6 linked regions of the Oryzias latipes genome follow. The protein of the gene in region 5 purifies or fractionates together with the protein of the main gene of each other region. This does not show direct contact. Links are inferred from orthologs where the notes say so. Each region holds a gene or a part of one and is shown on either strand. Other genes may lie near its edges. The genes, in order: ppp2ca, ecsit, cdca4, ppme1, ppp2r2d and ppp2cb.

Region 1 (4,575 bases), on a different chromosome or scaffold from region 5:
GAGATTGAGAACGGTGTGTAATTTTAAAATGATGGCTCACAGGGCAACCGAGACAATTCTGTTTTTAATTTAATGGGTGCAAGCACAAGACCTGGGGGGGGGGGGGGGGGGGGTGTGCAATTTGAGTATTTCCTCACATATTTTGAGGAGCTAAAATGGGGAAAAGCTCAAACAGAAAAAGGTTTACAGCTGGAAAACATCAAACCAAACTGGAACAAGCTGCTTTCAGTCAAGCCCAGATGCCATGAAGCTCCAGATGCTAACGTTCAACAGACCTGAGCTGAAAGAAAAAACTCCATCTGGCTTTGACTTCAACCAGTAGAATATTTGAGAAAAGATAAGTTTAAAAGAAATCTCATTGGGTTCAAAGAAATAGCACTTTCACTCTACTCTCAGGACGAATTTTTCCTCTAAACCTAGAGACATTCAGAGCTAAAGATCGGCACAGAGATCGGGGTTAAGCCGCAGCTCAGACTGCTATAGTGTGCAGAATCTGTTGACCAGCTAATAAATAAAGCACAAGCATATGTAGACTTCACATCCAGCAAATGTCAACATCAGGGTTAGGGGTGGATAGGCTGCTACTTTATTAGCAAAGTCAGCAGCTTCTCAGCCTGGAAATGGTTTGCTAGCACTAGCACTCCACTTTGCAGGATGTATGACCCATCAAACAACCCAGGGACAAAAGGAAAGCATGCATGCATCCTTTCTAAAGATGAACAATAATTAACTGGTTGCCTCCTAACCATTATCACTACTTAAATGGAGAAAACCATTAGAACTCTGAAAATACTCTTCATTCATTATGTTAATTAAAGACCCACTATGATGAAGATCCTGTTCTTTGGTGCTTTAACATGTTCTTGTTCTGTGATGATGGAGGACATATATAAAGAAAATGTTGCTCAGAATTGCATTTCTGGGTTTTTCTTTTGTCAAATGATTGTGAATGAGGAAATGATCATCGGCACACAACCTCCCTGCTCTGCTCCGTTCTGATGCATCCACTTGTAGACAACTAGATCCACGAACGTCTTTGTTTTCCTCGTCTGGGCTGGCATTCACCCCAAAACTGTACAGCTGGGTTGCTCAAATACTGCTCAACCATTTTTGTTGCACTTGTAATGTTAAGTTAGGGGTGTGAGTGGCTGTTAGCAAGCAGGAGAGCATGTAAACAGTTGTTTGATAGGAAGTGGGGGCGGGGTTGCTCTGTGCCAACAGTCACAACTGAGGCAATTTTCTAATGCCACACTGCACAAACTATGTACGCCTCACCTAATGCCATAATTATTAGTAAAAAGAACCCTGGGAACGATTTTACAAAAGATCAACAGATGGGCGGAAGCGGACCTTTAAACTGCATCCACTGCAGTGAAGCGCTTTCAATGTTTATTTCTGCACCCAAAAGCCAGACTGGAAGCTAAAGAACCCTAAATGAATAAGAGCTTAAAACGGGATACAATATAAATGTGCTCTAAACTTTATATTCAGTGAAGATAAAGGTTAACAACTAAAAGAAGCTGACTAAACCATTTACGTCCAAACAGCCTGAGTTGACCAGAAAGATGCCTGATTAAAATGATGGTTTTACTGCTACAGAGTGGGGTTACTTTCAGAGCAGTCCCAAAATCGGGGGGCTTATTTTAGCCCCCGGGATGGGGGGTGGGGGGTAAGTAAAGCAGACTGGGGCTTTTTGCTGCAACAGCTGCCTTAGGGAGATGCTGCAGTCACCGTGGCGCCCGCGAGGAGAGCAGGGAGGGGAGCGCCGCTTCCAACGGGTCTGCACCCCGGTAAATCCCACGAGCTGCCCTCCGAGCGTTATTTCCTCCCCCCGCGAATGAGCAGACCGCTCAAAACCATCACAGAGTGGGGTTTGGCAGTGAGGGTCTAATATCGCGCGGTGAAATCTACACTCCTTCTACTATAGACGCCATCTTAAGAATCTCTGAAAAAAGCCACAAGGAGGAGGAGGAGGCGCGAGACCAGACGTTAACAGAATTTGGGGTTTAAAATAAACTCGTCTTACCTTTTCACACAACGTTTTCACCTGTCCTTCGGTTAGCTGTTTGCATTCGTTGAGCTGCTCGATCCACTGATCGAGTTCTTTCGTGAACGCCTTTTCTTCCATTTCTGCTGTTTTTTCTTCACCGACAGGCGCCGCGGCGGTTCACCAATGAGACTCCGACTTCCCTGAAGCTTACAAAACGTTGACCGCAGGAGATGGTTTCACTCCGACCGACAGAGGCATGGACCTCCAGCTGCCAGATCACTATGAATTGACAGAAGAGGGGCGGGAGACAGCTCTGTTTGGCGATCCACCCTGAAAAATGGTTCATGTGAAGACGTCAGTGGTCATACGCTGCATTTCCGGCGAAGATCTTCAAGATAAAAGCACCACGCACCAGACTTACCCTGTATATAATATTTCAACTAATTAGTGGTTCATCTGTTTTTGTTTCCTCAACACCTATTCTTTTTCCTCTATCAAATTTTTTTTCAAGATATTTATTTAGAAAAATCACGGTCAAATTAAAACAAACACTGTTTCTTGTTTCATTTCATTTTTAAAATGCTTATTAAATTAATTTGCTCTGAACAAAGTAAATGTAATATCGATTTATCAAATGTATTACTAAATTTCATCTGAAGTACCTTCTTGTTTATTACTTTCCTGTTGGTTTTTGCAAATGTAACTTAATTTTCTTAATGAACGATTTGCCTTTGTTAACTTTATTTTCTTTTGGGAAAAGGTTTTTGCATAACTAAACAAAATAGCAATTTGAATAAAAATAGTTACATAAAACTAATAATTTAATAGTGTAAAATCATTGCAGTAATTAAGCTGAAACTGTAAATAAACTAAATCAATTAAGCATCTTTGGGGAAAATCAGCCCTGATAACAATTTATTTCCAAATTAGCAGTAGATATACTACTATTCTTTTTAAATATCGACATTTTTTTTTCTTCAAAATCCACACAGTTGCTTAAAACAAATTTTACATTGTGTGAAATATCTAAGTAATTTTAGTAAAGAACATCCATAGACGGAGAACAGACACATTCTTAATCATTTCTTTTGTTTTAATTCTTTTAATTTTTTCAAATCTGACATACAGCATCTGAGTCCATTGCACAAGTTTTTCAAGTTGGAAAATGGTCATTCTGTAGAAAATGTGCAAGTACCACAATAAATATTAAACAATAAGTACTAAATTGTACCTGAGTGCAACCCTTATATGAAATTGTTCCGCTATTCATCCCTAATGTTAACTTGTGAAAAAGGTGGATGTTGTGTATGTTGAGCCAGCTACATTTTAGGTTTTTATTTGTGTTTTTGCTGGATTAAATTGTTATAGCTGACACAAAAAATGAGGGTCTGATCATCTGCAGTGATGTTTGGCAGCTAAAAAAAACATTCATTCGTTCATTCATTCATTCATTCATTCATTCATTCATTCATTCATTCATTCATTCATTCATTCATTCATTCATTCATTCATCTTCTTAACCGTTTATTCCCTTTCGGGGTCACGGGGTTGCTGGAGCCTATCCCGGCCACTTGGGCGTAGGCAAGGGAAACCCTGAACTGGTCGCCAGTCTGTCGCAGGGTGGAATATCCTCAATCAAACATCCATTTACTCTCACACTCACACCTATGGACAATTTAGAGTTGCCAATCAACCTATGTAGCATGTGTTTGGACGGTGGGAGGAAGCCGGAGATCCTGGAGAGAACCCACGCATACACAGGGAGAACATGCAAACTCCACACAGAAAGGCCCCCATTGATGTTCAAGTTCCAAGTCCCCCAGCCAGGACTTGAACCGGGGGCCTTCTTGCTGTGAGGCAAGAGCGCTAACCACTGCGCCACCGTGCAGCCCGCTAAAAAAAAAAAAAAAAAAAAAAAAAAAAAAAAAAAAAAATTGTGGTTATTGTGCTTTTACTTTGAAAAACGCACTTCCGTTCTTGTTTGGTTGCTTGTCTCACATTTGACTCAGCAGAAAATGGAGTTCGATCCAAACAGAGACCCGGACGGATGACGACAGCGCTTCCTCTGCTGCCTCATTGGCTGTTTTTTTTAAAGAATGATTTCTCAACCTGCATTACAGAGAATACATCATCCTCCACAAAAAACATGAACTTTGTAGTTTGGCCATGATGTCACGGGTTCATGAGCAAGGCAGAAGCAAACAGAACGCAAACGTACCTGTTCTAAAAATGATGTAATCCGGTTCTAGCTTAAAACATGAAAACCCTATTTAAAAAATTAAAATAAAGTCCAAACGAGTTATGGTTTGAGGTTGTTTTGTTTTTTTAACGATTTTATTACTCTTGTATAGTAAAATAATAAATGACTTGTCAAAAACCTGCTTAACTGACTAACATAGACCTTTTCTTTACATTTTTTTACTACAATATGACTATTAGAGGGGCTATATCAGAATTGATATTCTATGTTTTGTTTGGTTCTTTTCTTTTTTTAATGTTTATTCATTTTTGTTTTTATAAGTCTTGAGTTCAGGTTTTTATTTTGAAAGAACTCCTGCAAATATCATATATTATATAGTTTTAAT
Region 2 (4,618 bases), on a different chromosome or scaffold from region 5:
CCCCTTTTTTTTTCTTTTGCATTATTATTTTTTTAGGCTGGCCACGTGATTGAGACTCATGGAAGCATGGAAAATGTCAATAAAGCTTTCCCATTAAGATTTCTCCATTGTGGGATAAATAAAGTTATCTTATTTGAATTGAAATGTGAGCCAAGCCAAAAATGTTGCTACTGCATTGAACTTAGGAAGTTGATCAGAGAGAGCAGACAGGGTTTTATAGGCGAGCCTCCTGGAAACATCCAAGACTGGATTATAAGGAAAGAACACAAAAACCTAAAGAGACTGATCACATGAGTCATTTAGGAGATTCTGCTCCACAACTGAAGTTGAACCTGAGATTGTGCACGGACAACAGAAGCTCTATTTCTGTGAACAACTACAGAGATTTATGTGGTTATTATTGATTTTCTAAAATCTAAAATACTGTTACTTTATATTTACTGACTTTTTATGTAAAGAACCCAGAGAGGATTATTTAGTAACAGATCGGCTTGTTAACATTTGGTTCTGTGTGGCTCTCAGTTTACATTTAGGCCCCCCTGCGACTGTCACACTTTCTCTGTTTCAAACTGACCACGGCCCCCATCAGAGGATGGAAACGTCTCTGAAAAGTCTGGGGACCCCTGCGTTAGAGGTAAGACTGAGATGGTTGGGACATGTCCAGAGGACAGACTGAAGGATGCTGAGTCTAGAGGAAGACCAGAGAGGAGGACTCTGGATGAAGGAAGACATGAAGGTAGCTGCTGGTAGAGGATGCAGGAGACAGACAGAGGAAGCTGATTGGCTGTGGAGACCCTGAAGGGAAACACCCAAAGGAAGAGAAGAAGATGAGTGGATTGGAGTACACACCCATCGAGGTATTTTGACGTTATTTCTGTTGTACAGTCAGTACTCTGGTCTAAACGGAGGAGGATGACAGACGTGATGGACAGAATGAGGCCTATAGGGGAAGTCCACATCCTCAGGTGGGGTCTCCGCTGCTCCTGACACCTTCAGCCAGAGTTCTGCAGGAGCTGCAGCTCATTGATGCAAAAACGGAAACAAGAAGCGCCTCCAGCTGAATCTAAGAGCCTCCAAATGAAAGCTGCGGGAATCTGAGCGCACGAGACGTTCCCAGACGTTTAAGGCATCAGCACAGAAGGGCCCCGCAGGCCCCGCAGAGGCCCCAGATGTGCAACAAAAGCCGCTTCTGTCTGTCCCGTGGAGCGGAGCCCGACCCGCTGCTGTCATCCGGGCCGTGTTTGCTGATCCGAAAGTGAAGGCATTCCTCAGAACCGCCTTCAGGTCATGAGATAAAGCGCTGCTTCCAAACCGCAAATATGACTTCAGCCCCGCACACCCACGCACGGCGCTGCGCCCGCGGCACACATCTCTGCGCCTCGCTCGACGCGGAGCTTTACGCGGCCGTTTGCAGGTGAAAAGCGGGCTGAAGACAAACCAACTACTGTCAGAACCGAACCGGAGCCAAGAAACGGAAAGAGAAAGTTGTGAACAGAACCCAAACAAATGTTCTGAAGTCCTCCACCAACCGGACATTTACAAAAAAACTCCAGGATGACTGCTCCCCGCAGGAGCAGTGGATCGGAACCAGTCAGTCAGAAGCAGCGGGGCTGGCGCTAAAGTTCGGCTGGTTCGGAGCAGAACTACTCACCCAGACTGTTGGTGGAGGAGTCCATGATCCGGTTGAGAGGCGCGGTGCGGCCAAAGGTTTGTGTTTTTATACTTTAAGGTGTGTTTTCCATGCTCACGCGGGAGTGTCTCACAAAGGCTCCAGTCAACTGCGGGCGCTGCAGCACACCGGAAACGTGAATGCCGCTCACAGCCGCGCGCTTCACGCGCCAGGAGGAACCCCGCGAGCCCTGCAACCGGATTACCGACTCCCAAACTGACAGCAGAACTCACAGGGATCCATCAGCGGGACATACCGCTGTCATGTCAGTGCTGCAGCCCCCCAGCCCCAGAAACCCCCCCGGACGCTGACAGCCAGAGCGAAAAATGTTAGTGTGGAGTTTTCAGCTCATGCAGCGCGGCGATGCCTGCTGCTGCCTCAGCGCCGCTGTTTCTGTCGCCCCCGCGTGGCGTCATCCGGAACTGCATGTTGCTGAATAAAGCATCTGCTGCTGCTGATCCCGTTTGATGTCCGCCGCTGGGAGGATCACATGACCACGTTCAGCCTCACCAGACTTAACCAAACTCCCAAAACACAATCCGACTACCCCCCTCCCCCCCATTGTCCTTCCCTGCAGCTGGGTAAACAGACAGGAGGATCAGATAATATCTGAATGCATCAGACAGATTTCACATCAAGGAGAAATGAATAAAAATCCCATTTTTGGGCTCTTCTGACAATAGTTACATCACAGTTTCTTGGTTTAAAAAACAGATTAAATTCTATGAACCATTTCTCTGGTCCAGCCTTCCAAAATAAAGGCCCAATACACAAATAAAAAGGCCGTTTGGATTTGATTTATTTCAAGCGATCAAAACCGAAAAGACAAACAAAAGACATTTATGTATAGATCAAGTATATCAAACTCAAGCTGATTTGTCACGAAGTGATTAAAAAATCTAAAAAGTAAAACATATAAAAACAGTTGCAAACATATATTCCTTTATAGTTACTCTTAATCATAAATATTTGCACTTATATAAACAATACACGACATATTAAACCTATTAAATTAAAATTTATTTTCCAAAAGAGTTTAATTATTTGAGGAGTAAGAGAAAGCTAATGAACATAAACCCACCCCTATTGTGCTTTATTTAACTTGTTTTTACATATTTATCATATTCTAGTTTGTAACTTCTGACAAAAAGACATGACAACATTCCAGAAATTAATATTACTCAAACATTTAGTGCTCAACGATTATTGCATTAATTATCGTTTGATAAAACTTCCCTCAAAACTATCAAAGCAAACCTGTTTTTTTAACGGCTTTCCACTTTTTTCTAAGTTAAATTCTTCTCTACTAAACTTTGGAGGCCTCTCCTGACTAGCTTTGGGGGGGGGCACTATTACTTTATGAATGACATTTATTTATCTTCCCTCTTGCTGAGCTTTTGTCACATTAAAATCCACCTGGTTGAACACTTGCCACCAGCCTTGACAGGAGGGTTTGGGGTTTGAATCTCTGCACCTCTCTGCCTTTTCCTGCTGCTGCTAAGACGTATTTTATGTTAGGAAGAACGGTTAGTATTTACGTAAACAAATATTTACATTTTCTCTGTCTAAAATCACCGGGCAGCACAGCGCGGAACTTTCTTCTCCGGACCTGCGGAACGATTGTTGCTGTTTTTCTCTGTTGTGAGGGGGAAGGAAAAAGGTGCCGGACAGAGGACGTTGGTTCCCCGGTAAGCTGCCGCCGTGTGGTTGTTTTGAAGGAGACTCGTTTTCAGGTGTGTTTTGAGTGTTTTCTTGTCACTTTGCTTCATTTTTTAATCTCTTCCGGGAGTCACTGATAACTAGTGGGAGACATTTTGGTGCTTGTGATCCTGGCACGCGCTCAGACCTCCCTGAGTCCGTCTTTCTTTCGATAGCCGTCGCTGTCTGTCTGTCTGTGTGGATCTACCATCTGGACGGTGGGTTTCATGGCTCCACCATGAAGGTTTCCCGCTGCCTACAGCGGCTGCAGGATCTGCGGCTGCTCCGATGCTCGTGGCAGACGGCGCGGGTCCTCCAGCCAGAACCCCACGGTCCGCGCGCCGCGCGGAGCAACCCACAGCAGCACCGGGTGAGTTCCGGCCCACCCCCTCCTGACGGGCCCTGAGTGACAGGTCCGAGATCAAAGGTCCCGTCTGTGTGAGTGACAGGTCCGAGATCAAAGGTCCCGTCTGTGTTTTACCTCCTGAAAACAGGAATCGCTTCTTTCCAGCGATTCATTTTTAATGATCAATGATTTTTCACAATACAAATATGTCAATCAAGTTACAAATGGTTCCAATCAAACGTTCATAAAAGGAAAAAAAAAGTAGAATTATTTCAAATTAAATGTTTGTTTTGCTATTTTTAAGCAAATGGATTGTATTCTATGTGAGGTTCTTGTATTTGTATTGTTACTTTTGATTACAGTGACAAAGAACTAGTGTAAAAGGTGCAAAAGACTCAGTTTAGAATAAAATTAGAATATGATGTTTGTCCACATGAATATGTTTTAACAGATTTAATTGGATCTCCCTCTGTTTTTATACAACGGTAGTGACAGGAGTTCTGCTGTCAATTCAGTTAAAGGTTTCCTCATTGAATTGAATTTTAAAATATCATCCTTAAAATTGAATAATAAAACTAATTTTTCTGAGTGTTAAATCATATTTTTCTATTATCTAGAGATTGCAATAAAATGATTTGGACTGATTTGAATAATAATTTCTTTATGTCTAGACCGTAACTCTGAAGGAGACTAAAGAGTCTCCTGACCTTTGTGACACGTTAGCCCCTCTGGACGCTCTGTTGCAGGTCCTGAGGGGATTCCACTGCAGTCCCGTCTTCGCCAAGGACCCCCGCCTTCCCGGACGCTTGGTCGGCGAGGACGACAACAAGAGGCAGACGTCTCTGGTCGCGCACGATGACCTGTTCGAGCAGATCGCCATGGGCGCCAAAAGCAAGGCCACGTTC
Region 3 (4,850 bases), on a different chromosome or scaffold from region 5:
CCAAGAGAGAAAGCCACCTGGAGCTTCATCTCCTGCCAAACGCAGACAGCTCCTAAATGCCTGTTCACACCGGGACGAATTTCGCGCGCGATATTCGCCGACGTTTAACGCCTTGTGACTAAACAAAGGGCACCAATGTGAGTGTGCACACCGACGCGAAAAAACGCCACGCGTCAAAGCGTCACTTTTTAAAAAACGCCTTGGGTTCGTTTTTTTGGTTTGACGCGTCGCGTCGAAATCTATTCGACCAATGAGAATGGCGCTTTTGCACACGTCTCTGGAGCTTCTGAAGTCACAGTAAAACACAACTTGGGGGCACTCAAACACAAAACTGCCTTTCTAAGCACACATACCAGCGAAGAAGATAGACGCCAAGTAGCGTCTACACTGCCGCGAAGAAATAATGACGGACATTCTAAAATATCCCCGAACCAAGCACTAGTTGGAGCAACTGGTGCTTGAAATATTCATGTTTTCCTTGTATTATTCTGACAAGCGCGTAAATACTTGCTCTCTTCTTCTGTATGAAAAGCGACTTTAAGAAGAGTGAAGCTGCGCAGCGCCACCTTGTGTACAGGAGTATTTCTGTTTACATTAAGCGCCATCTAATGTCAGGGAATGAAATTGCATGTTTGCTCGGCTCATCGTCAGCGAAAATCGCCTGGGTGTGAACACAAAAGACGTGGCGAAAAACGCTGGCGAATAACGTCTGGCGAATATTCGTCCCGGTGTGTACGGGCCTTAAGAGACGCAATGAGTAGAGGCCCTGACACCCGCTGCCCTCCGAACGCAATCCACGTCCCGTGGGATCGAACAACGTGGGGTTTCTATCAGCGATCTTGATCGGAGCGTAGGGTTCAAAGACCTTTCCTGTTTGTGGTGTCCTGCCAGCCTCATCGGCCGCTTCCCCTTCTGCTACACTAGCCAGTTGCCCGGTGGGCAACTGAGCTGTCCACTGAAGCCAACGTGGGCAAACACAGGTGGGGCCACATTTTCTGCCCACTTTTAAATCATATAGGGCCCACTTGGCCTTGCTGGCTGGGAGTGGGCTGAACTTTAGGAAACTAGAATGTAAATGGATTTGACATTCATTCTAGTTTACTTGTTTGTATGGACACATATTTCATTTAAACTTGATGATCTGGAAGAAATCCAAGAATCTGGAAAACTTCACTGTTCAGTCGCAGAAATGTCTGTCTGAGTCTCACTGCTGGAAGTTTGGATGAAGATGATCTGGATCCACTTTAGATCAGAGAATCGGATCGATCAAACTGAACCGATATTGATATTGTCAACCACAAATAATCGAATCGTTATTAAAGTGAATCTACTCCCCCTAGTAACAGATGTTCTTAAATCACAAAAAATAGAGCATGAACGTTGTTATTGTGTCAAATGTTTTTTAAACATACACATATGGATCACGTCTTTTAAACACTTTTCATCCTTCTGCCAACGTTCTTTACACAAATGTCGTTTTGCGCCCCTTGGGCGTGCGTGCGCCTCGTCGTTTTAGTGAACGTGTTTCGCCGTCCCGCCGCGTATTGCGTGTTTTTGCGTGTTTCGGAGCGGGGCAGACAGATGATGAGCGCGGCGCAGGCCGGCATATGGCTGGCTGGGTCCCCTCCCCCTCCCTTCCTCCGCTCCGCTCCGCAGCAGCAGGACGGAGCCGCTTCAGTTTTGAAGCCGTGGCATGAATGATCTCATCTGAACCCGATCTCCGCTCTCCCTGTCGTCGATCCTATGACCGAGACAGGTAAAATAAGGCAGAAACGAGGTGAGTGCGGCCGCCGTGTTTTTACAGCCGGGCCTCGCAGGGACCGTCGGGGACGTTTAGTTCACGGCCGCCGCGAAAACTCCTGTTTTTGAGAAAGGAGGAAGGACCGCGGAGGGAGGGAGGGTGGGCGTTCGGAGCGTACTAGCTTACCGCTCGCTAGTTTACACGTTATAAAGAGGACCGAACAGGGACAGAGAAAATGCCATATGTTCGATTCCGCCGCGAAAGGCCCGCTTGTGACCATTGGGGGACGGTTATCCGGCGCCAGTCCACAGACCGCATTCAGAGTAGCGCCGCGGCTAGCCGGCTAGCTGTTAGCCGCCAGCGCAAAATGGCCTCATTGTCGGCCGCTGGAAGACAAAGCGTGCGGCGGCGTCGCCGGCGGCTCTTTACCCCACCACTCCCACCGCCGTACTTGGCGGTCGGTACCAGAGCGTGGTTGACGGAGGGGAACCGACCGCTTTGTGGGGCGCGCGCGGACGGTGGTTTTAATTGATTAGGCGGCGCGGGCTGTAAAAGTGCCGCTGCCTTTTCTCTCCGCGGTGGGGGATGGGCCCCGGTAGCAGCCATTGACGTAAAGCGCGGCTGCATTTTGTTTGGCCCCAGCTCTAAGTCTTCACTGTTTACATGAAAATCACCTCCAAAAACGACACGTTTTCTCCGTTTCTGGACGTGAAAGGAGGCATTTCCGGGTGTCTGTCCACATCTGTCTCCACACCGTGTGGCGCATGGCAGCATTTCCCGGTTAAATAAAAGACGAAGTGCAATAATATATCATGAAAAACAAGATTACATCCTTATGTGGAGGTTTCATTATATATACACGTCCACTTAGAACAATTGAGCATTTATAGCAGACAAACAAATGTAAAAATCAATACAACCGCATTATTGGAACCTTCTTGTGCAAAGGGAAGAACTTGATTAGCAAATAATCTTCTAAAAACAGTCGACATGTTATAAATGTAAACGTTGAAAACATAAGTCTAGACACATTTTGTTTTACATTACTAGGAAGTGAAATAAACTAAGAACAAATCGATTTATTTGGCAATTACTATAATTATCAAATGTGTTGTTAATTTAAATGTTTTATTTTCCCACCATTTAAAGGGCTTATATCATGCCAAATGAATGCTTTTTAGTGTATTTTAATGTTCATTCCTCACAAAAACATCCCTAAAGTGGCTTTTTGATCCAGTCACTCATTTCTGAGTATTCCTCTAAAAACCGGATCTCTGAGCCCCGGCCCCTCCCAATCCATGAAAACAAGTGGGTCCTCACATTGTGACATCACAAAGTGAGGACCCGCCCCTTCCAGGAAGAGTCTGAGCTGCCAGCTCCGCCTCCAGGCTAAAAGACACACCCACTTTCTCAGTGGAGCTAGTGGTGATCGGCTAAACAATTTCATTTTTTTTATAAACATCCATCTTTGGAAAAGTTCAGATGTTTGACGCTCTGCTGAAGCCAGCACTAGGATGATGTCATAAAATGGGTGGCACCCACAGGGAGAGAAAGGCGGAGCCTCTGTGATCGAGTCGTCTTACATCCTAGTAGGAAAATAAGCTGTGAAAATAGTGTCCCAAAGGTAATATATGATAATAAATATGGATATAGTTTACTCTGAAAGGCTTTAGAAAAGAAGGACATAGACCCTTTAAAACCAATTGGGTAAGCCTAACTCCCGTGTGTCACCCATGCTACACCAGGTCCATTTCTTTAATGAGATGACTAACTATTTTCATTAGTTCACCTTTTGGCACATCCCATTAGGGGTCGCCACAGCAAATCAGCTTTCATTGAAAAAAAAAACTGGTGGATAGGCCCGAATTTCATACTTATATATATATATTATATATATATATATTATTATATATATACCATTGTCACGTTCAGGACGAGCCATTGACCTCCAAAAACTGGACTGAGTGAGTGTGACATCATCCACAGAAAACGCTTTTCTTATAGCCAAATAAAGTCAATTCTGTCAATTTTGGCAATACAGACATCACCATGTTGGAACCAGATGTTGTCGGTGAGCAGTGATCGGTCGGTCTGAGTCGACGTTTCTATAGTAATCACTCTCACCAATCAGGAGTCAGCTCGTTGGAAGCTACACCCCTACCACTTGAATTCATACGAAATCTGAATGTGGGTAGCCACTGAGGAATCTTATCTGTCAGTTTATAATTTGAATAACTTAAACAAAGGAAAAAATATCATGTAGAAAAATTGAGGATTATTAGGAACATTTTTTTTAAAAAAGGTATCAGAGCCAGAGCGGTTCTTCTGACCAATAGTATGACGGAGTAACAGCTGTTTCCCTCTGGAAGTCTGTGGGATTTTGGCTTCTTGGAGCCAGCAGGTACTTCCTGTTTGGAATGCCAGAGGGGGAGGGGCTGCTCGGTCCAGTTCTCTTATACAGTCAGTTGTACAACCAGTTTTTTTTTATAAATACAGGAACTGAACATTTTGTATTTGTAAGTCAGTTATGTCAGTAACACTTTGAATTTCAGATCTTTTTTTTTACCCATAAAATCTAAATTTGATCCAAGGTCTACTAAAACCTTGGATCAAATTCATATATATATTTTTTAGATCTTTTAAATGTGAAATCACTGAGAAAACGGCAAACTGTGGTTAAAACGGGGTAAACGTGTGGTGACTGAATGTGAACAGACACACCGCCTGCTGCCACGGCTCAGTCCTTAACAAAAAAAACGCAAAAGCTCTATTTTATTCAACAGGACCAGTCTGACATTTAACCCCAAAATGCTGAACTTCAAAGTGTTGGCTGCAGAAAAACCCCATTTAGGATGTCCAAAAGTGTCTTGTTTGTGCAGTAAACTCTGACCTGTTTCTGTACACGTTTCAGAGGTTTTTCCTTTTGAGGAGGTAGGGGACATCACAAATGCTTGTGTCCATAACTGTTTGGTTTTTTTTACCCTTTTTGTATTTTATATCTCCAGGGACCTTCTTAAATGACCCTCCCCACCCCATTCTGCCCCCCTGTCACGAAGTGTTTGATCTCGGAGTAAGACCACCTGAGCGTTTGGGTGCCGCCTCTGGTTAC
Region 4 (4,652 bases), on a different chromosome or scaffold from region 5:
TGTTAGGGGTTGAGAACCATTCTGTTTGTGGGTTTTGCTGTTGACTCGCTTCAGTCTTGGATTGGATTGTTGAACCCTGTAAATGTAGCATCATATTCAAATTAAAGGATTCTGGGGTTGTTTTTCAGTAACTACACTTTAAAAGCATCCATAAATCCCTGATTGTATGAGACCCCTCTCTCCTGCCAGTCCAAAAGTACTGGTAAAATATTGTTGAAAGTAGTCCATGAAAGTCTGGTCCCAGTAGTCCTCTTCTCGTCAGGATGCCCTGGTTTGCACAAACCTATCTGAGCTGGCTAACCAGGTTGGCATTTGATCTGGCATGACTTATGATTAAAGCGTTCTCTAATTGGACAGCTGAAAGCTTGTTATCAAAAAATAGTTTATATGGGTCAATGGCAAACACCTTTATGTAATGTCACGTGACACTTTCTAAAGTTTAAAAGTAACATCTCCTAAGAAAACTTCTTTCTGTATACCCCCACACCTTTTTTTCACATTTAAAATTTGGTCTATGTTATAAATTCTAAGGTATCAATGTAATAACTTCACTACAATAACATACTGACGTGTTTATTGCAAACACAGACAAAGAATTCAACTATCTTGCAGTTTTTGGTGATTTATGGCTCAATGAGTTCCAAGCAGCTTTATGTTCTCCAGATAGAGCTGCCGTTCTGCACATTTATTTACTTTACATGCAGTCCAAGACAAGGTTTGTTAAAAGAACAATTTATTTTTACAATCATTCAATTCAAATAATAATTTGTGGTTGGTGATGTGATTCATAGTCGATATTGGTTAATTTTAAACGGTCCGATTTGATCTAAGTCAATGGCCTAAAATGGATCCAGGGAATCTTTAACAAAAAACTTAACCAGTGTGACTGAGTGATAAATACCTGGATACTAAACAGTGCAGGTGAAGTTTTCCAGATTCCTTGTATTTCTTGCAAGATAATCAAGTGTAAATTAAATATAAGAACAAACAAACAAGTAAACAAGAATTTAAGGTAAATCCATTCACATTTTAGTTTCCTGAAGTTCAGCCCACTATTGTTACTCCACATCAAAATAATACAAACAGAACCTCATTAGAACATTCTATCATACTGTACGGTCATATGTCTTTCCTAATTTCAAAGTGGAATGATGGACTGTATTTCTGCATTTTCCAACGTTGATTAAAATGGCATTATTTCATTTTGAAACAATGTTATGATGCTACAGGTGATTTTATTTGATTCAGTTAACAACTTCCCTTAACATATCGATCTGGTTGGATTGTAGGAGTATAAATCGATTAATAGTTACATCCCTAAATATTATCAGCTCAGTAAAGAGTGAGAGAAGGAAAGACAAAAGTTCAATTTTTGTGATTCAGAAAAAAAATACTGTTAAATATGTTGTGAAAATGCGTATAAACAAATTGTGACACATCACATCATCACTGTAATGAGTGAGGGACTAGCGTTTAATATTAACATGCCTTACAGTGTAAAAGGGAGGGAGCAGAAGAGAAAAGACTTTTCAGCCGATTACCAGTCTAATGGACGACAACTTGTTGTTTTTAAGACACGATTTTAATCATTGAGAAAAATGAATATTTTATAAAGCACAGAAAAAGCTTTGATGATTACTTGTTCATTCGTTGGAGATATGAATGTACTTTTTTTACCGCTAGGTGGCAGCACTTTCAAAAAATGAGTAGAAAACCACCTCAAAACTACGCAGAACAAGAAGAAAGACGGAAAATACAAAGAAGCCGTTAGCCTGTATGCTATAGCGATTCATCAAATGTTTGGTTAACGTCAGTACAAGTGTCAGAAACTATCTTATGCAGCAAAAGAAAGGGAAGGCTATATTAGACATCTCTTGACAGAGCGCTCTTTCCTCACAGCATGGAGAAACAGTTGCATTTAAACCTGCTGGCCTCCAGACCTCCAATGGCTGGTCCTGGTGGATTTCAGTCTGGCTCTAAAATCAAGATGGGGTGAGAAGCTAACAGTTCATAAAACGTTAAAGGGTTTTTTTATATCTACATTTGCGTGTTATTCTTCATACCTCTTGTCAAAGCCATACTGTGAACTTTTGTCTGAATAATAGCTCGCCGAAAAGCCAGACACAGCTGAAGGAAAACCAATATTTAGTTAGCATTTAGGCTAGCCTAGTTACCGCTTATAGAGTAGGCACGACCCGCCTTCTGCAGCTGCTGCAGAGGTTTTTTTATACATATAACTCCTTTGAGTTAACAAAGTCTAGCTGATGCTGTGTAGAGCTTATCGTTTTCTTTAAGAAAAAAATCAGAATATATATACGTACTTGTTATGTTCTGATCCAGGAGACCCCCGTTACGCCCACCAAAGGATAAACAAAATCTAGTTTACAATACAGTTTTACTGATTTAATCCAAAAGTGTAATTACATTCTTATGAAGATGACTCTTTCATTAACTTCGTTAAAGTGGTTCGTTTTCTGCATAAGTCGTGCCTCTAAAGGGGGCAGCTGTGTGTCAGCCAGCAGAATAGAAACAGTAATTTACTAATGGGTAATATGGAGTCAAACCACAGTTTGGAGGTACAGATAGTATGTATATTGTACATAATGATTTCCCCCTCATTTTTATTTGTATTTATATTTTTTTATAGACCTGGCCGGAAGAAAGATTTTACTCCACTGCTTTGGAGTCAGTACTTTGAAACCATGGAGGATGTTGAAGTGGAAAATGAAAATGGCAAAGATATATCCTTCCCAAAATCTCTGTTTCACAAGAATGCCGTGACGATTTTTTGTTGTTTTGATTTACGCATATCATGGAATTAAGATTCAAATGCTTTTCAAATTCTTCGTCTAGGCCAGGGATCTGCAACCTTAAGCAGTAAAGGAGCCGTTTGGGCCTGTTTCTTGCTGATCAAAATCTCATTGGAATCACAAAGTCTTATTTTGCCCTTTAGGAAAAGTTGATACTACTTTATTTTTGGCTTGAATATAGAGCAAAAATATAAAGTGAGAGTAGCTTTTTCTCAAAGTGTGAAATTTTTTCTTTTTCTTTCTTACTTTTGACAGAAGCTTGTATGACTTCCTTTCAAAATTAGACTTCCTGTGCCGAACAGGGTCATCCTATTGCAACTAATGTTCTCCTAAAAAGGTTTTAAACAACGCAACAGCATCTTTTTTGTGCAACATGAGGCTCCGGAGCCACATTGCAGACTCCTGGTCTAGGTTTTAGTTTTGCTTAGCGTTTTAATGTAGTGCTTACAGCCTTGCGTTTTGTTTTCTTGACCGCACAACACATTTTCAGAATTTACTGCAGTGGTTCACTTGGTCCTGTGCTGTTGCTGCTCCATGGAGGAGGCCATTCTGCACTTTCTTGGGCAGTGTTTACTGTGGGTATCATTACCACTGCATAATCCCCTATTCTTAAACAGTAATCGTACACCAATATAACGAGTAATAATAACAATATGTGTGTTGCAAGACTGCCCAGAATACAGATTGAAATGACCTCTGTATATGTCTCTACAGTCAGTCATATCCAACATGATTACCTGTAGGGTGGTTGCCATGGACTTGCGAGCTCATGGTAAGGAAAATACTCTGTAGGCTTTGGAACAAATGACTTTTTCCCATTTTTTAAATGTAAAATAATTTCTGTAGAACTGACATTTTTCTGCAAAAATGATGGAATAAGTTTTCCAATCATTACTCTTTAAAAAAAAAAAGAAAACTAATCTGAGATTGTCACGGTAAGATGAGAAAGCTTGGGAATCCTTTCAGGTGATTTTTAACTAACAATTTTATCCACCCTGTAGTATATTCTCCAGAAAGACTAACATTCTCATTCTCTGCAATACATTGTGAGGAATTTTAACTTTTTTTTTTTTTTTTACTCTACACAAATGTGTTTATATATAAATTTAGAACCAATGCTTTGCTTTTTTTTTTTTGTTTGGTAAGCGTAACAAGAAATTCTGAAACTCGTCTTTAAACCTGCAGGTGACACCAAAGTAAAAAATCCTGAAGACTTGTCGGCAGATACCATGGCAAAGTAAGATACCGTTTTGTAAATACTATCTCTTTTTGTCTGAAGTGGGTTTATAGTTTGTTTGTTTGTTTGTTTATTGCTGGCTTATGTCCAAGAAATATATGAAATCCTATAAACTGGCTATATATGGAGTGATTAAACTACCAAAAAAAAAAGATACGTTTTGGGTTTTTTTATGCAATTGTATTTTTCTTTCAGAGTTAGTAATGTACCAAGTTAATCTGTTTTTCTTGTAATTATGTATTTCTTGTAAACTAGTAAATGAAAAAGGGAACCAATTGTTGCCACCTGCTAGACTGCTGCTGATTTGGAGTAATATTGTTGGACACTGTCAAGAAAATGAAAGATTTTCAAAATGAAATAAAGTGTAAGGAATTAAGTACAGAAATGCAAAAGCAAAACAACAACACAATTTTTGTGTATGTCGTCTTTATTTTAAAAAATCCTTTTTGTAGCATTTATCTTTTTTGACGCTACTCTTCAGATGTCACCTCCACTTGTTAATCCCGTTTCTTCTTCTTTAACTCGTTATATTTTTAGTACATTTATGTAATCGTGCCAAATTAGTAAAATGAATGAATTTCTGGCTGGGGCGAGGGAGGTCTGGG
Region 5 (4,852 bases):
CCCAAACCTTGACGGAGAGGTAGTCACGTGTCATCATGTAGCGTCCGCTGTGACTGAACTTCACGTCTGAGATGGAGGAGATGATCTCAGAGAAAAAGGATCGGCTGCTTGGATCCTCAGGTTCCTCAAAGACTGAAATGCAAAAAAAAAACCCAGAAACAACCGTTAAAAAACAAAAAAACAAAGGTTTTGATTTTTTTTTTAAATTTACAGATAAAATCCAACAGATATTTACACTTGGAGTGTCTATCGCAGAGTGCTGCCTCTCGCATGTCACACAGGCGGATGGTGCCTTTGCTACTACTGTACACAAATACATTGCATTGGTGTGGATGGCACTCGGCAGCTGTGATTACTTCTGTCAGCTCTTCCATGTTGGCAGGCTTGATGTCTACAATATCTGAGAACAAGCCGTTAAGGAACTGATGGTCTCAGGATTGTGGAACAGAATCACACACAAAAAAAACAAAAAACCATCAAATGAAAACTTTCTAGAGATATTTAAAAGAAAAGGATACTAAAACTTCTGTCTGTGATTTCCAAGTGCCATAGATTTATTCTTAGGTCATCTGCGGAGAGGTAAGTTTCGTGATCGCTATTTACAGAAATGGAATTAATGTGATAGGTGTGCGCGTTTGCAAAGATCCTCCGTGGGCTTGCTTCTACCATGAGATCCATTGGCATCAGCACAGGTACCTGAGACACAAAACCTGACAAGTTAACAACAAAGTACTTCCAAAATGAATGAAACGATGAAATGGTGGGATTTTACGTACCCGTAAAGAGGTGATTCTAAAAGGATCTCGGACTCGCCCATCTTCATCTTTCAGGTTGTAACCCTCCGCCCGTTTATCTCTTTCACTAATTTTCCACAATTTGATAGTTTTATCTGAGAGAGAAAAAAAACAGGTCAGAAAGCCTCAAAATACACAGAAATTATGGAGAAAAAAAACCCTCCTACCATTTGTTGAAAGTAGAAAGTGAGCAGCATTTTGTTGGGGTAGCCATCTTATTTTATTAATTTTTTCCTCAATTTCTAAACTTTTCAAATAGTCAAATTCTGGCTCGTGACTCTGAAAAGTGCTATAGACGTTGTACTCCCCACGCAAGTGTGGACGATTCTTAGACTGAAAGAGGAAGAAAGAGTGGGGAAAATGAAATGACGACGTAGACTTGTGCGAACAATGATCGTAAGCGTGGTGTTTTGTGAAGAAACCCTACCTCCTGTTCATGCTGAAAAATCACTACTCTCCCGCCTTTGTCTCCAGTTGCAAGTAATTCTCCAGAATAGTTGAACTCAACGGTTGAGATGATGTCCGCTGAAAAACAGACACGAGTTACAGCAAATCTGACTAAAATATCTGTTTTTTTAGCTGTTATCTTTTAGTTTTTAGTAGAAAATAATGTAGAAAATATGAGTCAAACTGGACTAACTACAACTGGTAAAATGCATTAATACCAATCTATTTACAATAAAGTTTTAGCACCAAATAATACGTAATTCCTACATTTGTGAGTATACTCATGCAAATACAAATCATGTGATGTAAGCATTTTTTGCTAAAACGTTTAATGCAGAAAACATAAGTAATTAGAAATAGCTTAGATCTGTTATGGTTTAGTTTCATCTCACAAAACAACTGTAGATATTAGCTTAAATCATTTAGGTTTGAGCTCAGTTTGAAAAGCGTCCAACTGCTGCTTTGCTTTGACAAAAATAAAAGCCTTTAAGAACAAAATGTAACTCTGCATTTGTGAGACTGGAAATACAACTTGACGCTTCACATCAGTGGAATGAAAATTATGTAACATCTTCAACAGAAGAACGTTGATATTTGCTTGTATTTATGCACAACAAAACACAAAAACAGATGGAAATTCATTATGAATTGCTTGGACGCACTTTAACCCTAACTGTGACCCTAAAATATGTGCGAATTGACAGTTTCCCCACCTGAAAGCAAAAAGACTTTCTTTGCTTTTAAAAAACGCTTAAAAGTAACATTTAAAACGTGCAAAAATAATTTAATTAGCATTAATCGTAGGCATAAAAAAAAGGTACATGGGCGTGTGACTGAAATGCTATATTTCTGTAAATATACATCTAATTTTTAGTGAAGAGGAGCATAATTTTGACCCTAACACCTGGATAGTTTTTTATTTATTTAGTGAACATGAAAGAACATAGCTTAACATTTTGTAAATTTAAATAAATACATAAAATACTTTAGTAATTTCAGCCGGAAGGGACAGATGAATAACAATAAATAAAAGGTAAAATAAAATATCTTGTATATTTTTAGTTTTGAACAACATTTTCCAAACTTTATATATTTAAATAAAACGTCGACAACACAACCTCGATACGCACACGTTCGACAAACAAACCATGTTGCCTCCACAATTTATAGACGCAGTACATTGACGTCATGGGCACGGTCGCTCCCCTTTAATAGTTTAGCAAGCACCTAGCATTCAGCTTGTTAGCAACACACGGCGATTAAAAGGGCGTTTTCCCAGGTGGCTCGCAAACAGACATTTATCGACACCAGCTGCCCCGCTCGTACAACATGTGCGTCCATCCCTCAAAAAGTCACACACGGCGCATCACACGTGAAGACCCACACAGCCCCATCATCCTGCTAGCTTGACCACCGTTATGGGGGTTAGCATAACCGCCTAGCTAGCGTAAGCTACTTACCTTCCGCAACATCTTCATCTATCGCTCCTTTTACTTGAGAGAAACACCACTGGAAATCATTTCCTCCTGCAACTCCTGCGAAAGAACACAGCGGTAGTTAGCAGCTGTAAAACGCCGCGTTTGGCGGTGAAGATGGCCCGACAGTGACACAGTTTGACAACTTAGCGCTGCCGCTGCGCTGGTGGTGAGCTAACTCTCAGATTCAGGCCATCACACCAACCAAGAGAGCCGGATTCTTCTGCTCCCTTCAAAAGTAGCTTACCCGCCATTGCTTCATTTAGCAGCTCTTGTTGTACGAAACTTCCAAGACCTGATCGACCAATGCGGCTTGCTCAGAGAAAACAGATAACATCCACAATCAGTGTGCAGACTCGGCTCCAGATCTGTCAAGACCACGGAAATTATCCGTGATTTTTTTTTCTTCCAAAATGGCGCACGGTACATGGAGAAATGACGTCATGCACACATGCCACATCCTGGCTGCATCCATCCTCTCCCGTGCATCACCTCACAACATCTGCATTTAGCCTTTTTTTTCCCTTTCAGTGCTGCGCTTTATTACACGGATACACACACTAATGTGCGCAAATAATATCTTTAAGTTCAGATCCACGTTTTTTTTTCCAGGTTTATGAATAAAATTTAGATCATTTATATCACTTTCAATCAGTTTTTACTTATTGTAACAGTTTAAGTTTTAATAAATGGAAAACAAATCTGCATTTACAGAAAGTCTTTCTCAATTGGTCATAGGCAAGATTAACCTGACTATATATAAATAAGTTTGGTAACATAAAAGTTTAAGGAAAAATAAAATAAAATATTGACAAAAATACATTAAAAAACTTTTGATCTTTCAAAGAAACTATCGTGTCATTTTTTTACAAGATGTTTTATTTTGCATGACAACTTTGAGGACTACCGCGTTGATTGGACGATCCATCAGTGACATCTAGTGGCAAAAAAGGTGAAAAGCCAATTGACATTACCTGTAAGGACCACAAATGCTGCATTTTGTGGAACTGAACCAATGCAAGTGCCCTGTCTGTCTCAGTTTGATATGGATTTCTTTCTCTCATAATTCAAAGTGATGTGAAGTTTCCATAGTTTAAGCATAAACAAGCCATTTGCTTAAAAGGGCTACTGGAGGCTTTAACAGCTTGCCACTCAGATGTCTTCTTAAAATTAAATGCATAGCCTTTCTTATTGCATGTTTTGCACTTTGTATGAAATACTGAATTATAATAGACGTATATAGTTATGAGTAAATGGAACAAAATAAAAAAAACAACTGAACATATGAATTAAAGATATGTATTTGTTAAAATTGAAATTTTATAGAAAGGGAAAGAACAAAAAAAGGTAAATGGCGTAAATTTATGTAGTGCTCTCTTTATTACCTTCTTAGAAGGCCCAAAGTGTTTGACAGTCACAGTCCCTTTCACCCATTCACACACACTCACACACTGATGGCGGCTTCGCTGCTGAAATCTGGTGCCATCCTAATACCTCCTCGAACAATGTGAGGTTCTGTGCCTTGCTCAAGAGCACTTTGATACAATGGGAACCCGATTTCTTTTAATAAGAGGTTGACCACTCTATCTCTGCACCACGGCCGCCTCGACTTTTCAAAATGTGAACAAATCTGTTTGCCCTTATAATTAATAAGTGAATATAATAAAGTTGAACACACTCATACAATAGTTCACTATTTGATTAGAAATGTATTCAATAAAACTATAGGAATTTCTTTTTAGTAAAGCTAACCTTTAATTTTATAGAACACTTCTTGAAAGGCTTTACCTTTCTATTTGATGAAAACACTTATAGAGTACATTTGGAGCGCTGTGTAAAAAGAAAACATAAAAAGGGGAAGTTGGTCTGAAAATCCAACACTTGACCTTATGGTCATCATTTCTCGTTTCCATCTCCTGTTGAAAATTTCTAACACAATAACAGCTCAACAGAAACTGCAGAATGTGATTAATCCTTGTGCTATCTTAGATGACCCCACCCTTACTTTGACGTGTTCTCCCTACCACGATAAAGGTGGATAAAGGGGGAAAGATTTAACGTAATCCATGGACACCAGTGAAGATCACAAATCATTGAAAAAGGTTCAACGCACTGTCTAGTGGGTCTAGATGACCC
Region 6 (4,828 bases), on a different chromosome or scaffold from region 5:
CCCTGCTCAGAAAAAAACACTAACACGCACCGCCAGACGTGCTCCTGTCACATGACTTCTGCTAGTTTCCTCCGTGTAGCTTCAGTTGAAAGAGATGAAGCAGCAGAACATGTGAGGATTTGTACCAGAATCCAGGACGACCTGGAGGACAAAACTGCTGGATTCACAGCAGCAACAGAACGTTGATAAAAAGGGTGGATTTGGAGACAGCGGGTCGTTACACACTGATGCTACCATGCTATGATACTAAATGCTACCATGCTATATGCTACCATGCTATGATACTAAATGCTACCATGCTATGATACTAAATGCTACCATGCTATAATGCTAAATGCTACCATGCTATAATGCTAAATGCTACCATGCTATGATACTAAATGCTACCATGGTATGATGCTAAATGCTACCATGCTATGATACTAAATGCTACCATGCTATGATACTAAATGCTACCATGCTATGATACTAAATGCTACCATGCTATGATACTAAATGCTACCATGCTATGATACTAAATGCTACCATGCTATGATACTAAATGCTACCATGCTATATGCTACCATGCTATGATACTAAATGCTACCATGCTATGATGCTAAATGCTACCATGCTATGATACTAAATGCTACCATGTTATGATACTAAATGCTACCATGCTATGATGCTAAATGCTACCATGCTATGATACTAAATGCTACCATGCTAAATGCTACCATGCTATGACGCTAAATGTTACCGTGCTATGACACTAAATGCTACCGTGCTATGATAATAAATGCTACCATGCTAAATGCTACCATGCTATGATGCTAAATGCTACCATGCTACATGCTACCCTGCAATGATGCTAAATGCTACCATGCTATGCTAACGAGCTGTTCCGTGTGTCATCTACATGTGATCACGGTTTAGTCAGACTTTGTTTTCACGTAGCGGATTTTAATACATGACGGATAAATGCAACATGACTTGATGATGACGGTCTCCTCAGGTGCGATGCCCGGTGACCGTGTGCGGCGACGTTCACGGTCAGTTCCATGACCTGATGGAGCTCTTTAAGATCGGAGGGAAGTCTCCAGACACCAACTACCTGTTCATGGGAGACTACGTGGACAGGGGCTACTACTCTGTGGAGACGGTCACGCTGCTCGTCACGTTAAAGGTAACCCTCGTTAGCAGACCTTCCTGCTGAGAGTGGGAGCGCCTGAGGAGGTGGGACTGCATCTGATTGTTGTCAGCAGTCTTCTGTGGTCACACCTGCACAACTGTCAGGTTTCTGCCAAATGGTAATATGGGAGGCCGTACCTGCAGTTGGAAGAGGTGTGTTTGTGTGGCAGAGCGGCAGCGGCAGTGTTGTGTGTTCCTTTCTGTGTGTTTCTATGTTTCCGTGTGTGTTTGTGTTTCTGTGTTCGTTTCAAGGTTTCCGTGTTTCTATGTGTCCGTGTGTGTCTGTGTGTTTGTGTTTTCTCTGCGAGTTGGCGGCTGTTTTAAGAAGAAATGTTCTTAAAGGTTACCTGTTTTTAATCTTAATGGTTGTCCGTTTTGGACCGCAGACACTTCTCCTGAATAAGGAAATTAATCTTGAAGTCGGTCTTTTCAGTGGCTGTAACTCCGCCCACCTCCTCAAAGTTTGCTGTAAAGGCGGAGTCAGAGGTCCCGCCTCTGCGTGCAGCTTTGTGGTTGTCGTTGGAGGACTTTAGTCTCGTTAACCAGATCGCAGAGGTCTTTCCTCGGTTTCTCCGGAGGTGTGCGATGTGTGATGCTGTGGAACCTGCTGGCAGCTGGCAGTGTTCATGTGAGGTTTCATGCGCAGGTTCGATTCCCAGAGAGGATCACTATACTGCGAGGGAACCACGAGTCCCGTCAGATCACACAGGTCTACGGATTCTATGACGAGTGTCTGCGGAAATACGGCAACGCCAACGTCTGGAAGTACTTCACAGACCTGTTTGACTACCTGCCGCTCACTGCGCTGGTGGACGGGCAGGTGAGAGCCGCTACACCCAGACCGTCAGGCCATGGAAGCAGGAGCTCTACAGACACTGTCCTTTGCTGTCCTTTCAGATTTTCTGTCTCCACGGCGGCCTGTCTCCCTCCATAGACACTCTGGACCACATACGAGCTCTGGACCGCCTGCAGGAGGTCCCGCATGAGGTACACGCTCCTCACTGGACGTCCCGCTCAAGTGTTTTGGGCCTTACGTCATTCCAATCCTTTGATTTGGAGTTTGTGCCGATACAGAGTCCTGATCCAAAACTTTTGTGAAGTACTTTAAAAAAAAACAAAAAAAAAAACAAATTAATGAACAGATCCATTTTTTCTTTTATTCTCCTCCTTTTATCATTCAACACTTCTACGATTAAGTAAATCCTGCAGCTATCTAGTACGAATAGTTAACTATAAACTAGTCAAAACTGCTGATAATCATGGCAGAAAGTTTGGGGACTGAAGCTTTAGTATCCTCAGAATTGTTGAACATTTTTAATCGGAACAGGAAAAAATCTCAGCGCCGTTTTCAATCCTGATGGTTTTTCTCTTAAAATCCTTTCGTAGGTCGTTGTTTACGTGACACTTGCCGTCAGTTGAAAACATTTTATTAAGAGTCATTGACCCGGAACTCGAAGCTGTGAAAAATTGTGGTGATTCGTTGATGAAATGCAGACTTCTAGTAGAGTATTTATCTGGAATAATAAGCTTGAAATGATGGTATAATCGGGTTAGGGTTATGTCCGATCGGGAGACACGTCTGATTTCAATCCAGTCTGCAACCGATCGATCAACTCCGGTTTGCGATCACGTGGTCGGAGCGGGACAGCCCCGACAGCAGCGTCCTCCTCTGCTGCAGAGCAGAAGGTAAGAGCTGCACAGGTTGGTGTTAATCTGACTCCCCCCACCCCCCAGGGCCCCATGTGCGACCTGCTGTGGTCTGACCCGGATGACCGCGGTGGGTGGGGCATCTCTCCCAGAGGTGCTGGCTACACTTTTGGACAGGACATTTCTGAAACCTTCAACCACGCCAACGGCCTAACTCTGGTGTCCCGCGCCCATCAGCTGGTCATGGAGGTGAGACTCCTCATACACACACACACACCCCCGGCTGTTAGGATGGATGGGCCGTTTGTGATCATGCACCCCCACCCCTCTGTCTGCAGGGCTACAACTGGGGTCACGACAAGAACGTGGTGACCATCTTCAGCGCCCCCAACTACTGCTATCGCTGCGGCAACCAGGCAGCCATCATGGAACTGGACGACACCCTGAAGTACTCTTTGTAAGTCCCACCCCCCCGGGTGTCTCTGGATGGAACATTCCTAGAGAGTCCAATCATCATTTCATCCAACGTGTCTCTGAATCGCACCTTTACTTTCATCCTCTCTCTACAGCCTGCAGTTTGACCCCGCCCCCCGCCGCGGCGAGCCTCATGTGACTAGACGCACTCCTGACTACTTCCTGTGAATGTCCTATTGTCCCCCATAAGTCATTCACCAAGCCCCGCCCCTGCCCCACCCCTCTCATTTTGAATGGAGAAGATGCATTGAGCAGATTCAACAGAGCGGTGATGTCACTAAAGCTGAGCTTCAGCCGCATGTTAACCTTCATCTTCTCCATCTGACATGTTTGAAAACAGGAGAATAAAAAAGTACCGACGTGGACCAAATGTGCCATATTTTGATCCTTTTCCAACAACTGTTTTTGTTTTTTAGAGCTCACTATATCCCCGCCCGTCTCCACCTTCATCCATCTGTGCTTTCTTTCTGTTGCCAGATCAGTTTAAAGGAAACGTAGGAGAGTTTGCTTCAGTAGAACAGCTCTGAGTTTCAGCTGTTAAGGCTGCAGCCAGCAGTCATCTCTACTATATTACTGTAATTTCAATGAAGACAACAGACATGTGAAATAAAATGTCCTATTGACAAACCGCTGCTGTCCGTCTGCTCTGTGCCAAACAAACTGACAAACCTGGATGACATCACAGGGGTTCACTGACACCTGGATGACATCACAGGGGTTCACTGACACCTGGATGACATCACAGGGGTTCACTGACACCTGGATGACATCACAGGGGTTCACTGACACCTGGATGACATCACAGGGATTCACTGACACCTGGATGACATCACAGGGATTCACTGACACCTGGATGACATCACAGGGATTCACTAGCTGAATTTACATGGACAAAAGTAATCGGAAAGAACGCCTGATCGGAAGAAAAATGCGTCATGTAAACACGCCGTTCGTAATACTCTGACTTGTTCGGATCAAAATTTCTTTCCGATCGAGATAGGTGGGTTATGCCGATTGTGGATTCGATCGTTGTTCATGTAAACAGTTCATTCCGATCGTGTGTCACTACTGCTCTGGTTTGACGTCATACATAGATGGTGTTTTGCTCCATAGAAGCTTTGGACCGACCTGCTGCGTAGATTTATATGACAGCAAGGATGTTTACTGTGGGACTCATTTACTTTTCTGGTATTTTCAACACTACTGCGCATGCCCAAATGATTTAGTGTGACCTTGTGAACGGAAAAAGGTTTTCTGATCCCATGTGCACGGTTGATATTTTAATCCGACCATTGATCCGATCGTTATTTTGCCCATGTAACAGCGGCTACTGACACACATGGATGACATCAGGGATTCACGGATGCACCTGGATGACATCACAAGTTCAATAACGACATCCACCAGGTGTGGAAGCACACCTGTACTGATTTTAAAAAGGCAGCAGGTGAGTTCACCTTTAAAAGTGAAAGTGAAAATGAGTGGACATAAAGGAGGTAGAGGATGAGGCCCAGGTAGATGAAGAATGAGAGAGCAT

What was found.
Region 1: the proteins of ppp2r2d (region 5) and ppp2ca purify together in Homo sapiens (affinity purification with mass spectrometry; 8 studies listed by BioGRID and IntAct, counting the BioPlex papers as one, with this or other methods). This does not show direct contact. The link is inferred for Oryzias latipes from reciprocal best matches to the Homo sapiens genes PPP2R2D and PPP2CA.
Region 2: the proteins of ppp2r2d (region 5) and ecsit purify together in Homo sapiens (affinity purification with mass spectrometry; 3 studies listed by BioGRID and IntAct, counting the BioPlex papers as one, with this or other methods). This does not show direct contact. The link is inferred for Oryzias latipes from reciprocal best matches to the Homo sapiens genes PPP2R2D and ECSIT.
Region 3: the proteins of ppp2r2d (region 5) and cdca4 purify together in Homo sapiens (affinity purification with mass spectrometry; 3 studies listed by BioGRID and IntAct, counting the BioPlex papers as one, with this or other methods). This does not show direct contact. The link is inferred for Oryzias latipes from reciprocal best matches to the Homo sapiens genes PPP2R2D and CDCA4.
Region 4: the proteins of ppp2r2d (region 5) and ppme1 purify together in Homo sapiens (affinity purification with mass spectrometry; 4 studies listed by BioGRID and IntAct, counting the BioPlex papers as one, with this or other methods). This does not show direct contact. The link is inferred for Oryzias latipes from reciprocal best matches to the Homo sapiens genes PPP2R2D and PPME1.
Region 6: the proteins of ppp2r2d (region 5) and ppp2cb purify together in Homo sapiens (affinity purification with mass spectrometry; 6 studies listed by BioGRID and IntAct, counting the BioPlex papers as one, with this or other methods). This does not show direct contact. The link is inferred for Oryzias latipes from reciprocal best matches to the Homo sapiens genes PPP2R2D and PPP2CB.

The regions. Positions count from the first base shown.
Region 1 is NC_019872.2:4,039,788-4,044,362, reverse strand, and holds the start of ppp2ca (serine/threonine-protein phosphatase 2A catalytic subunit alpha isoform), read right to left. Parts: upstream 3,161-4,575; 5' UTR 2,129-3,160; coding exon 2,027-2,128; intron 1-2,026. UniProt on the Homo sapiens protein: Catalytic subunit of protein phosphatase 2A (PP2A), a serine/threonine phosphatase involved in the regulation of a wide variety of enzymes, signal transduction pathways, and cellular events.
Region 2 is NC_019876.2:29,029,930-29,034,547, reverse strand, and holds the start of ecsit (evolutionarily conserved signaling intermediate in Toll pathway, mitochondrial), read left to right. Parts: upstream 1-1,430; 5' UTR 1,431-1,651; coding exon of another isoform or gene 1,652-1,676; 5' UTR 1,677-1,707; exon of another isoform or gene 1,708-2,217; intron 2,218-3,307; exon of another isoform or gene 3,308-3,315; 5' UTR 3,316-3,402; intron 3,403-3,543; 5' UTR 3,544-3,605; coding exon 3,606-3,737; intron 3,738-4,459; coding exon 4,460-4,618. Other genes in the region: eml3 (echinoderm microtubule-associated protein-like 3), read right to left, coding at 1,652-1,676.
Region 3 is NC_019880.2:21,571,574-21,576,423, reverse strand, and holds the start of cdca4 (cell division cycle-associated protein 4), read left to right. Parts: upstream 1-1,534; 5' UTR 1,535-1,777; intron 1,778-4,166; exon of another isoform or gene 4,167-4,850. UniProt on the Homo sapiens protein: May participate in the regulation of cell proliferation through the E2F/RB pathway. May be involved in molecular regulation of hematopoietic stem cells and progenitor cell lineage commitment and differentiation.
Region 4 is NC_019872.2:16,424,901-16,429,552, forward strand, and holds the start of ppme1 (protein phosphatase methylesterase 1), read left to right. Parts: upstream 1-1,717; 5' UTR 1,718-1,900; coding exon 1,901-1,992; intron 1,993-2,647; coding exon 2,648-2,741; intron 2,742-3,292; coding exon 3,293-3,385; intron 3,386-3,524; coding exon 3,525-3,582; intron 3,583-3,995; coding exon 3,996-4,047; intron 4,048-4,652. UniProt on the Homo sapiens protein: Demethylates proteins that have been reversibly carboxymethylated. Demethylates PPP2CB (in vitro) and PPP2CA. Binding to PPP2CA displaces the manganese ion and inactivates the enzyme.
Region 5 is NC_019873.2:19,563,259-19,568,110, reverse strand, and holds the start of ppp2r2d (serine/threonine-protein phosphatase 2A 55 kDa regulatory subunit B delta isoform), read right to left. Parts: upstream 3,148-4,852; 5' UTR 2,971-3,147; coding exon 2,964-2,970; intron 2,777-2,963; coding exon 2,702-2,776; intron 1,320-2,701; coding exon 1,222-1,319; intron 1,128-1,221; coding exon 962-1,127; intron 890-961; coding exon 777-889; intron 697-776; coding exon 519-696; intron 401-518; coding exon 236-400; intron 133-235; coding exon 1-132. UniProt on the Homo sapiens protein: Substrate-recognition subunit of protein phosphatase 2A (PP2A) that plays a key role in cell cycle by controlling mitosis entry and exit. Involved in chromosome clustering during late mitosis by mediating dephosphorylation of MKI67.
Region 6 is NC_019867.2:193,575-198,402, forward strand, and holds the end of ppp2cb (serine/threonine-protein phosphatase 2A catalytic subunit beta isoform), read left to right. Parts: intron 1-994; coding exon 995-1,165; intron 1,166-1,816; coding exon 1,817-1,990; intron 1,991-2,067; coding exon 2,068-2,157; intron 2,158-2,904; coding exon 2,905-3,066; intron 3,067-3,155; coding exon 3,156-3,274; intron 3,275-3,386; coding exon 3,387-3,459; 3' UTR 3,460-3,919; downstream 3,920-4,828.